Linked DNA regions of Drosophila melanogaster. The protein of the gene in region 1 purifies or fractionates together with the protein of each later gene. This does not show direct contact. Each region holds a gene or a part of one and is shown on either strand. Other genes may lie near its edges. The genes, in order: mtd and HIP-R.

What was found.
Region 2: the proteins of mtd (region 1) and HIP-R purify together in Drosophila melanogaster (affinity purification with mass spectrometry, with the first as the bait; one large-scale study listed by BioGRID). This does not show direct contact.

The regions. Positions count from the first base shown.
Region 1 is NT_033777.3:5,320,833-5,325,824, reverse strand, and holds the start of mtd (mustard), read left to right. Parts: upstream 1-1,977; 5' UTR 1,978-2,386; intron 2,387-2,699; 5' UTR 2,700-2,837; intron 2,838-4,992.
Region 2 is NC_004354.4:3,788,051-3,793,278, forward strand, and holds HIP-R (Hsc/Hsp70-interacting protein related), read left to right. Parts: upstream 1-1,918; 5' UTR 1,919-2,026; exon of another isoform or gene 2,027-2,079; 5' UTR 2,080-2,113; coding exon 2,114-2,286; intron 2,287-2,366; coding exon 2,367-2,488; intron 2,489-2,705; coding exon 2,706-3,352; intron 3,353-3,426; coding exon 3,427-3,618; 3' UTR 3,619-4,427; downstream 4,428-5,228. UniProt on the Drosophila melanogaster protein: One HIP oligomer binds the ATPase domains of at least two Hsc70 molecules dependent on activation of the Hsc70 ATPase by Hsp40. Stabilizes the ADP state of Hsc70 that has a high affinity for substrate protein.

The DNA.
Region 1 (4,992 bases):
CGGCGAAATTGCCATTCGTTATTTAAATGAAGCTGCTTAAAAGGGAGTATTTTCACTACTGTTCAACAGCCAAAAGAGAGTTTCTTTTTATGGAAATCACCCGGAGAAAACTCAACCCCCCTGAATGCTAATCAAGGGTATAAATAAGATAGTTGTTTGCAGGACGAGAAGAAATATAAAAGGTGAGTTTTCACAAACACAACATTTTTTCAAAATAAAGTTGGAGTGGCGTTAGTTGGCTTATTCTAGTTCAATAGCACCAATGGCTAATTACAGGTTTGTCTTTACTTTTGCCAATAGCAAAACCAAAACACTACACTGTCAATTCTTTATGGCCATAGAGCCAATTAACATTCGGAGCTGAGTTCGTGTTGAAAGCAATGAGTTGGCTGTTTAAAGTCAAGATTCTTTAAACAGGTTGATAAACCTCCGATTGGTAACATTGGTTACCTCATACTTTACTTCGAAATATCTTAAACTTCACCCACTAGAATTATTCAAAAACTTAGAAATTGCTTCTACACTTTGCGAAGGTGGTGTTGTATGATTCCTACCTCACCTGCGACTGGTTTGATTAGAGACCCTGATAAGCTATGCTTATAGCCATAGCGTTAGCCATAGGTATAGCCATGTGCATAACCATAGTCATAGATTTAGTCATAGCGCTGGCAATACATGCGATTGCGTTTTTTAGTGGCCCCCAAGGCGCATTCAAAACATTTACATTTTAGTTCAGACAATTTATGATTGTGTAATAATATTGAAGGCTGAAAATTGTAATCGTCCGAGTCCGAAAAACTGTAAATAGTCAGAGGGGGGGGGGGGGTGAAGATGGAGGGTGCGAACGGGACGGAGAACGAGCGGCAGCTAAATGATGTTGCACTTTTTCTGATTTCGACGAGTTGCGTACTTTGAAATTTGCATAATTCGCAATTCGAGCCCAGTCATGCGTCTTAAATGAGGCAAAGAAAGAGGAAAAAGTCAGAGGTTGCAAGCTAAATGGAAGAAATGCCCAAGGTCGGATTGTAAATTCTATTTTTTCTGTTTCTCCGCGTTGAAATGCAGTTCACCTTAGGGCAAATTCTCTGGGCAATTGCTGCGGCCTTGGCGGTAATTTCCTTGTCAGGTGAAAAACACAGGTGGCAGGGGGTTGGCCAGATAATTGTACCACTTTCACCCCCTCAACAGTGACCTACATTAAAGTTGAGGAAATGCATTTGCCGCCGAGGAGCTGGGAGCGAAATCAAATAATTACAGCGGCGTCACATGGCGTATGAGTAATTTAAATGAAATTACAAAGTCGCCGCAGCTGACTAACCTCCAAAAAATAATAGCAATTGCAATTCAAAACAAGTTCATTGCACATGCGCCCCAGCATTAGAAGCAACAAATCGAATGGGAAACGTACCGAAACTTTGATACCCTTTTCGGATTAGATGATGATATAGATGGTATCTAGCACTGCTACAAATACTAAATAATCGAACTGAACCCATTTGAACGATTTTAATTAGTTACATTTTATTACTTGTAACTTATCTACTCTGTCTATCTACTGTTCAACTGTGATAAAGTTAGAGTATCTTTCAAGATCCTCTGCCATGGTGTCAACACTCCTGGAAAGTGTATTAAAATCAATCGGCAGTCGTACGTTTCGCTGGCAACATGTGTCCAAACATCGCCAAGTGGAAGTGGAAATAAACGGAAATAAGCCAAACTCAAGCAGGTTTAGGTTTTTGGCCTGCAACAAAAACAAAAACGAGTTTGTTGCAGCACATGTGGATGTGTATGTGTATGTGGATGTGGCTGCCCCGCGAGACACGACATATGGACATATTGCTTGTAACATTTATACAAATGTACTCTGTTCGCTTCATAAAGTTAGAGTATCGTGCATGTTGCCCCGCAACATGTGCTCTCGCTGGCAACATGTGTCTAAACATCGGTAAGCAGACAACTTTTTTGTGGATCGATTCGATCAGTTTAAGTTTTCCATTTGCACCGAACGCAACGCAAGTAGCTCCCACAAAATCGGAATCAGCCGAAACGAAAACGGAACACAAATAACAGAACGCGCGCGCTCAAAGTCAGTGCTTGATACTAAGATATAGCACAGATATACTACATACATATGTATGTGGAGCATCGGCGATAAATATTGTAAAATTATTTTTAAAAATATGTTCGACTCGTGTGCGACTGTTTGTGCGACGCCGACCAACGCAGTCCGCAAATTATTTTTCTGCACTCATTTCATTTGGCGATTGTCCGTTGCAATTCGGCCATTGGTGTCCGTTTTCCTGGCGAAAGAAATATATTAAGTTGTTTAATTTAACATCCGTGCTCGGGAATTCGCTATAACAGCATATACACGAGAGTTTTTTAAGTGAGAGCGAGATTTTTCTGCAAAAAATATTAATGCAACTGTAAATAACATTGCCCCCCACTTTTGTTTTAAATGGCTTAAATTTAACGCCCTGTCAAAATTGAGTTTAACATTAAGGTCATTTGAGTTCAAAAAGTCCCTTGCAAGCAAGCAATTAATCGAAAGCATACATGTTTCAAGGCATTTAATTTAAAGTAAATTACGCGGGGCATTCTCACAATTGACCAAATTTTCGCTGAGTCTCGGACTCCCAAAAATTCCGAGTGCATAAAAGTAATTATAATTATACTAATTCAACCACAAATGTCCACAGAATATACAAGTATAATTGAAAATATAAGTGTACGCGAGTGCCAATACTGTGAAATCAATACGAATGAGAAATGTGACTAACCAATCAAAGGAAAGCAATTGTGCCAAACCTCGTTGAAAGACAACAAATTAAAAAAAGGTATAGAAATATTTGCAACCATTTGTGATGCAAATGGTAATGGATGCAAAATAATCGTAATTAATGGCTGCGCTTGCAATTTAATTTTTGGCCCAGCTTGGCTTTAATTTCGTCTCTCTGCTTCTCTCCTTCGCCATTCTGTTTTGCGATTGCTTTAGGCGCGGCTTGCGGTTTTTTCGGATTCTTGGTGAAGCGAACGGTTTTATTTTAGTCGCTTGGCTTAGTAAACCGTTCTAATCGGCATTATTCGCAGATTCTTTTGGCTTTTTCTTTGTTCGTCGCTTATTTGGCTTGCCTTTCCAGCTGCGAAATAGAAGCAACTTAGTTTATTATATTCCTCAGCTGCAGGTCATGACATTCGTGAAATATCTTTTTGTTAGTGCCTATTATTGCTTACGACGACTGGAAGCAGCAAAGAAAAAATATAAAAAACAGCTGACCACGTCAAAAGAAACCAATGAAAAAAAAACTTGGCCAACAATGACGAATACGGCGAACACAAAAGCAAAGACCTACGCCTAATTTAAGGTCATCAGCACAGTAAAACAACAACACTGGCAATAAGCCGAGGAAGAAGCAGCATTTACTGCTTATGGCTACGAAAAAAAAAACTAAAGTCGCCGGCGTCTCTGATTTTTTCTTCGGATTTTCTGATTTTGTCTATGGCCCTTCCATGCCATTTGCGTGGAGAATTATCGGGCAACGGCACAAAAAGCCATGATTGCACGTACACCAATGCACTCGCGTTCGTGTTCGTACATCCCAAATAAAACAGTAACAGTTGCTGCTCCCCCTCCCAAAAGCTCAGCTCATTTGCCTTCTCGGTTTGAACAGCAAAATGGAAAGAAAGCCCCTAGAAAACAGTGATGATAGTACTGTAGTTAAACCAGGTTTCCAGTATTTAACCATTGTATCCATTTTATATATCTTAAATTTCGTATACTTACCATACATACATACTTACAAGAAGATAAAAGCTTAAATAAGTAATTATTATTAATAATTATTGATACCTAAAGAAGTTTCCAAACTCCCAACCTATCTATGTAGATCCAAACCAGTTTCGAAAATCCGGCAGACTGAAAGGCGACTGTTGCGGATGCTTTGGTTTTCCGACGAGAAAAGTGGAAAAGTGGAAGGCAGCCCCACTCGAGATAATCGATGGCTTTGGTCTTCTCTCTCGTGCGCTTGTTTATGTTTTTTATAAATAGCTCAAAAAATGCGTAAAATGAGCAGGCAAAAACAAGGTATAATTAGAATAAATGTTAAGCCCAACCACTGACACATGTACACTAAAACTGGGCGTGCAAGAATATATCTGGTGAGGTTTTGGGCCAGAACGTGTAATGCATTTCTATCTATAAGTTGTGATACGCTCCATCAACACTTGATAGCATAATTAATGCGGATTAACATTTCAGCTTCTATTTCGACGCAAGTCGGCACAAAGCGTTCGTATAATATTTATTGACAAAGCCATTTATCACGATGTCCGCTGGGTGTGCATAATTTTGGGGCCACGTGATGTCGCCCGACTTATAGATAGTGGTACACAGCGAGTACAAAATTATATACCTACATATGTATTTAGAAGTCAGTACTATCTAAAATAAAGGTGGGGTGGCCCACCTAAAAGTGCGACTGACTGACTATGCAAATCAATTGAAAGTGTCAGGAAGCGATGGGGAGAAATGGAAGTGGGAAAATTAAAACGAGCAGCAAGGGGGGTAAATTGGAAATAATAATTTTAAAAACCAACACGGAAATGCAAATTCCCATTTTGTATCTACGCATAGCCGCATCTGGTTTTAACTTTTATTGATTTTAAGTGACACGTCCACGCGATTTGAACGAGGAAGTCTCTGAGTCACTTAGCTGTTGTGTCATTATTGCACAATGATTATGGCTGCCAAAAGGAGGCTTGTCGCAGGACAGAATATTTAAATCTGCCTGTTCAATAATTAAGTATACAAGCATGAGTACTTTTATGAGCTGCTTTTCGCCGTGTTGTCTCCGCATGTGATTTATTTATGGTCTTTTGTTTGCCCCTGCCCACTGTGCCTGACTTCGTCGAATTCTACTTGGCCCGGACAAAGAGCCTTACTGCTGTTTGTTTGCTCAAGTTGGCGTGAAAACAGTGTCATAATTACACAAA
Region 2 (5,228 bases), on another chromosome or scaffold:
AAAAAAACCTTAAAGAGAAAGATCAGAAGAGGAACAGAAGAGTATGAGCGGGGAGTGAAAGATGCAAGATTCATCCAAAAGCGAAAAACATTTTTTTCTTAAGTCTACGCAAAACAAAATGAATGAAAAGTAACCCGAAATTAGTTTTTAGAGTATAAGTATAAAAAATGGAAAATATCGCGATAGAAAGAAACAAAAATGGACGCAGATAAGGACGGCAAGCAGAACAAGAGTAATAAAGCAGCGGCAAGAACTCCCTAAAAATAGCAAAGAGCATTGTAAATATTTATATAAATAATTTATGCCTAATTAAAGTTTAAATTAATGAAGAAAACCAGCAAAAAAACATAAAAAACCAGAAGAACCATTTCAGATTTGTATGCAAATTTGTATATGTACGTACTTTCCTTTAATTTTAGCCAATCAGTTTGTAAGATTAAATTTTTTTTTTGCATCTCTATAAAGAATAATGATATGAGGATAATGATTCCGATTTTTTTTTCCGTTTAATGTAACCGTTAGAATTAGCCCATAATGGTCGATATCTAAATGTGTGTGTATATCGATGTGATGTCATCGATTGTCGATAACGATTGGATGCGAGTGTGTGTTAATTTAATTTGATAAAAGATAAAGGAAAGCAAGGAATGTGAAGATAATGAAAGGAGATGCATAGAGAATGAGAGCGAATCTATCTATTATATAATTATGTAAAATGCACATCTTTAAATTATAAATTATACATATTTAAAAGGAAACTATTATTATTATTTTGATTACCATTATCATTATTTTTTATTATCACTTAACGGTTTCGGTTTGATCCACAGCGAAACCAACAACAACCAAGAAACAGAAACAACAAAAAGAGAAACAAAATAAACAAGCGAAATGTTTGATAAAAAAAACCACGAGATGTTTTAATTTATTTGTCTTTAATTCTTCGATTTTATTGAGTTTTTCATAGAGAAAGTTGTCACACTCAAGAACACACACGCAAGCGTATAAAGCTAAACAAATTAATACCTACTAAGTGTTTAAATAGTACTAAACGAATCAAAATATAAATACTTAAAAAGAAAAAAAAACGAAAATAAAAATAAAAACAGCAGCAGAAAAAAACGATGAGACAGTTGAGCAGACGAGAAAAACAAAGCCCATTAAATTATTTGTTGAGTATTTTATTAAAAAATAATTACGATAATAATTAAAAAGTTTAAATTGAACGAATTACGAAAAACAAACTGAATATACATATATGTGTGCATATATACATATATGTATGTATTATATATAAACAAATTATTTAATAGTTATGCTAAAAAATTATTTAAAGTGAACGGATATGAAAAATATTTGTATGCGTGCGAGCACGGAGAGAAGGGCACTCAGAATAGGCCATCGACACCACCCACTCCCTTCCGATACCCGAACATCACCACCAGTTTTCACCATTTTCTGACCCTTAACCCCTTCAACCAGACACACACCAAACACAAGAAAAGGCGAAGAAAGCCGAAAAAAAAACAATGCAAACACGAAATAGGCGGCGACGACAGAGATAAGCGCGAAGAAGATACTAAATCAATAAGTAAACATAAAAATTAATTAATAAATTAATTCCAAAACAAAATGAAAAAAGCTAAAAAAAAAACATCAAGAAAACAAAAGACAAAAGCAAACAAAAAACATGACGAAACATTGAAAATAAAAAAATACTAAAATGATTAACAGAAAACTGTTTTAATGTCAATGGGGGCAGACATAAACTTCTTCAGCAATAGTTATGGACTTAATTGTGGCTCATTACATTCTCGATCCTATGTGAATATATATGTATTTAGTTTTGGGGTATGTGGCGGAAAATGGCTGTTATCTTTTTAAAAGTTGTCACATTTTCCAGCACTATCGTACGCACAAAATACTGAAAAATACAAGAGCGAAGCGATAAATACCGTCGATTAATTCTCAGTACTTTTTCATGGTATTTATGCATACCAATCGATAGGGCAGAGCAAAAGTGGACGTAAAGCTAAGCAAATATTGCTTATTAATAATATTAATATATTAATATATCAGATCTGAAAACATCGAGACAAAACGGAATTCAGAAATGGCTTTCACAATGCAAACCGGGGATCTGAAGAAGCTGAAGTACTTCATCGACTTTGCGCTTGAGAATCCCACCTTCTTGAACATGCCGCAGCTGCAGTTCGTCAAAGATTTCGTGGAGAAGTTTGGTGGCACGGTGCCGCCTGGCCAATTCAACGGTGGCAGCGCCGGAGGGTAAGTTAACCGAACTATTTGACCAATTTTCAAAACAACACGATTGTATGATTTGCTCATCCCGCGGCTTGTTCTTCCAGCAAGTGCCCATTCGGCGGTGTTGCTGGTGCCAAGGCCAACGAGCCGGCCAATGCCCCCGAGGATAGCGAGGACGAAAAGTCCCTCTCCGATCCTGAGTCGGACGTGGAGCTGGACATGGAGGGTGAGTGTGCAAATTTTGCCGAGTCACGTGGTCATTGGGGGTCACAACCCTGGACTTTGATGCGTTGCTGTCGCAGTGCTGGCAGTTGCTTTATCTTATATCCTTTCGACACTGCAAACTTAGCGTTTACCCAAATTCGAATCCTGCAGTATTAATATATGTAATACGCCAATTAAAACTATGTATCTTCTATCCGTATTACTTCCGACGCCTTCAGGTGTGATCGAGGCGGACAGCGACCCCGCCCAACCCATGGGCAACTACAGCAAGAAGGCCACCGAAGAGGAGGTGGAGCAGGCGAGCGAGCTGCGCGCCCAGGCGGCCTCCGCTTACGGCCAGCAGAAGTTCGACGAGGCCATCGCCTTGTACACCAAGGCCATTGAACTGAGCCCGGGTAATGCCCTTTTCCACGCTAAGCGTGGTCAGGCCTTCCTCAAGCTGAAGAAGCCGAATGCCTGCATTCGGGACTGCGACGTGGCGCTGGAACTCAACTCGGATTTGGCGGCTGGCTACAAGTTCAGGGGACGCGCCCGTCGCCTCCTCGGAGATTTTGAGCTGGCTGCCCATGATTTGCGCCAAGCATGCAAGCTGGACTTTGACGAGGAGACAGACGAGTGGCTAAAGGAGGTCACTCCGAATGCCAAGAAAATCGAGCAGCATCGCTTGAAGCAGGAGCGTCGCCAGGCAGAGCGTAAGATCAAGGAACGCCAGCGGGATCAGAGGCGCGCACGTAAGGAGCAGGAAAAGCACAATGCCAGCTCTGGTGGATCATCTGGAGAATTTTCCGGTGGGAATCCTGGTAACGGAAATATGTCTGATATACTGGGCGCCATGTCAGATCCCGAGGTGTCAGCCGCCATTCAGGTTCGTGAATACTACTTTTCTATTTCTAATACAAATGCAGTAATCATATCGTTGTTATTTATTAACTTTCGTAGGACATTTTGTCAAATCCGGGTAACATCACAAAGTACGCGTCGAACCCGAAGATATACAACCTTATCAAGAAGATTGTGCCCGGTGGAGATGTGGGTGCTGCCTTTGGCCAAGCGGGTGAAAAGGCTGGAAAGCCGAGCGAGCCTAAGCCTAAAAAGGACTCCGCCGACTTCGTCGATGACGGTTTGGACTAAGGTTTAGAAATGGGGCAGTAGTAAGACTGAAACATGCGTCGATAAAAAGAAGTTAACAACCAATTACACGAAATCGAGCGAGATTACAAAACAACAAAGAAAGAGAAAGCAACAGAGTGCGGTGAAGAAGATGGACTACACGAAAAACAAAAGGGAAAGCGGCTGCCTTACACATTTTTGCAGCTGAGAAAAAACAAACATTTCCTAAGCTTTAACTTAACCAACACGTAAAAGAACGGGCGACAATGGAGAAAATTCAAATATTCAAAATACTACAAGCAGTCAGAAGAATAAGCAACATTTATTTAAATCGAGAAGAAAGAGATGTTGGAGATGCTGGAGACGCTTCTTCACATATTATTGAAAAGCATACTTGCGGCCATTAAAGTGGCAAATGAAACTATACAAAGGAGCTAGAATATGCTTAAAAACTTATCACATTTGCAGTTCACAGGTAAATCAAAAGATTGTCCTGTGACGAACAAAACATAAATGTTTAGACGTCAAGTCAGATTCAAGGGTGCCGATCGATCTAGTTGAACTAAAGCTCGAGAAACAACCAAAAGAAAATAAAAAATATATATATGTTCAATAATATTAGCCTAAATTACCGAGAACGAAGAAACGGATAAAACTAATCGCATCATTTGGTCAAACAAAATTGTACTGAGTAGGATTTAAATCATATTGTAAGCAAATGCATTTAGCCCCCCAACATGAAAGCAATCGCCCATTCATTCACACACTCATTCACACACTCATTCAACCAGTGATCAATGGAAATAAATAAACGAATCAACAAGAACCCGAATTGCTAATGTCCATATTTTTTGGTAAACGGGTAAAAGGGGAGATACTTTTGCTTTTTTTTCGAGCGGGTTGGACAGATGGAGCCGTAGTCCCTTAAACTATCCGGCGCATCACCTGTGTGGGTTGCTCACTTTGTATGAAGGACATTGGGTACGCATGGTGTATGAAAGCGTCGATTAGACGCTTCAATGGCTGCACCCTGCACCCTGGATCCAGAACCTATCTACCGCACCCCGCCCCATGTCAGCGCGAAATTGGCTAACGGACAGCTTGGCGCACATGTTCGATTATGGCCAAATCGAGCGACCAAGCAGAACCAGCGGCACATGACCTGGGCTCAGCGATGCCAAGACCTGGGTGGTTGTACCTAGAGGTACTTGATTGCTTTTTAAACTCAGCTTGGTACAGCGTACACGACTGATTATTTAGAAGCTATGACAGCTTTCTTTGCTTTGATATTTTTCATATTTATATATAAATTATAAATATATATTTATAAGCAGGTGATATGGTTGAAACATATATCAACGAATATGTCAAATATAATACAGTGAAGTGTCTGCATTATTTTATTGTACCTGCGCCATCACAGGTACGGCTCCTCTTTCCATCGACTGCAGACGTACCGCTTATGTGCATGACTGGGTGTCCGGGGTGGTGGATGTGAATGTGGATGAGTGGCAGGAGGGCGCAGGCGCAGCTCAGCCCAACAGCCAAGTTGGTCTGGACTCCTGGCGGCCCATCGCATTCCGTGGCCAGTCGCAGCGCGAGACGGTTAGCCAGTTAGCCAGTGCGGACCG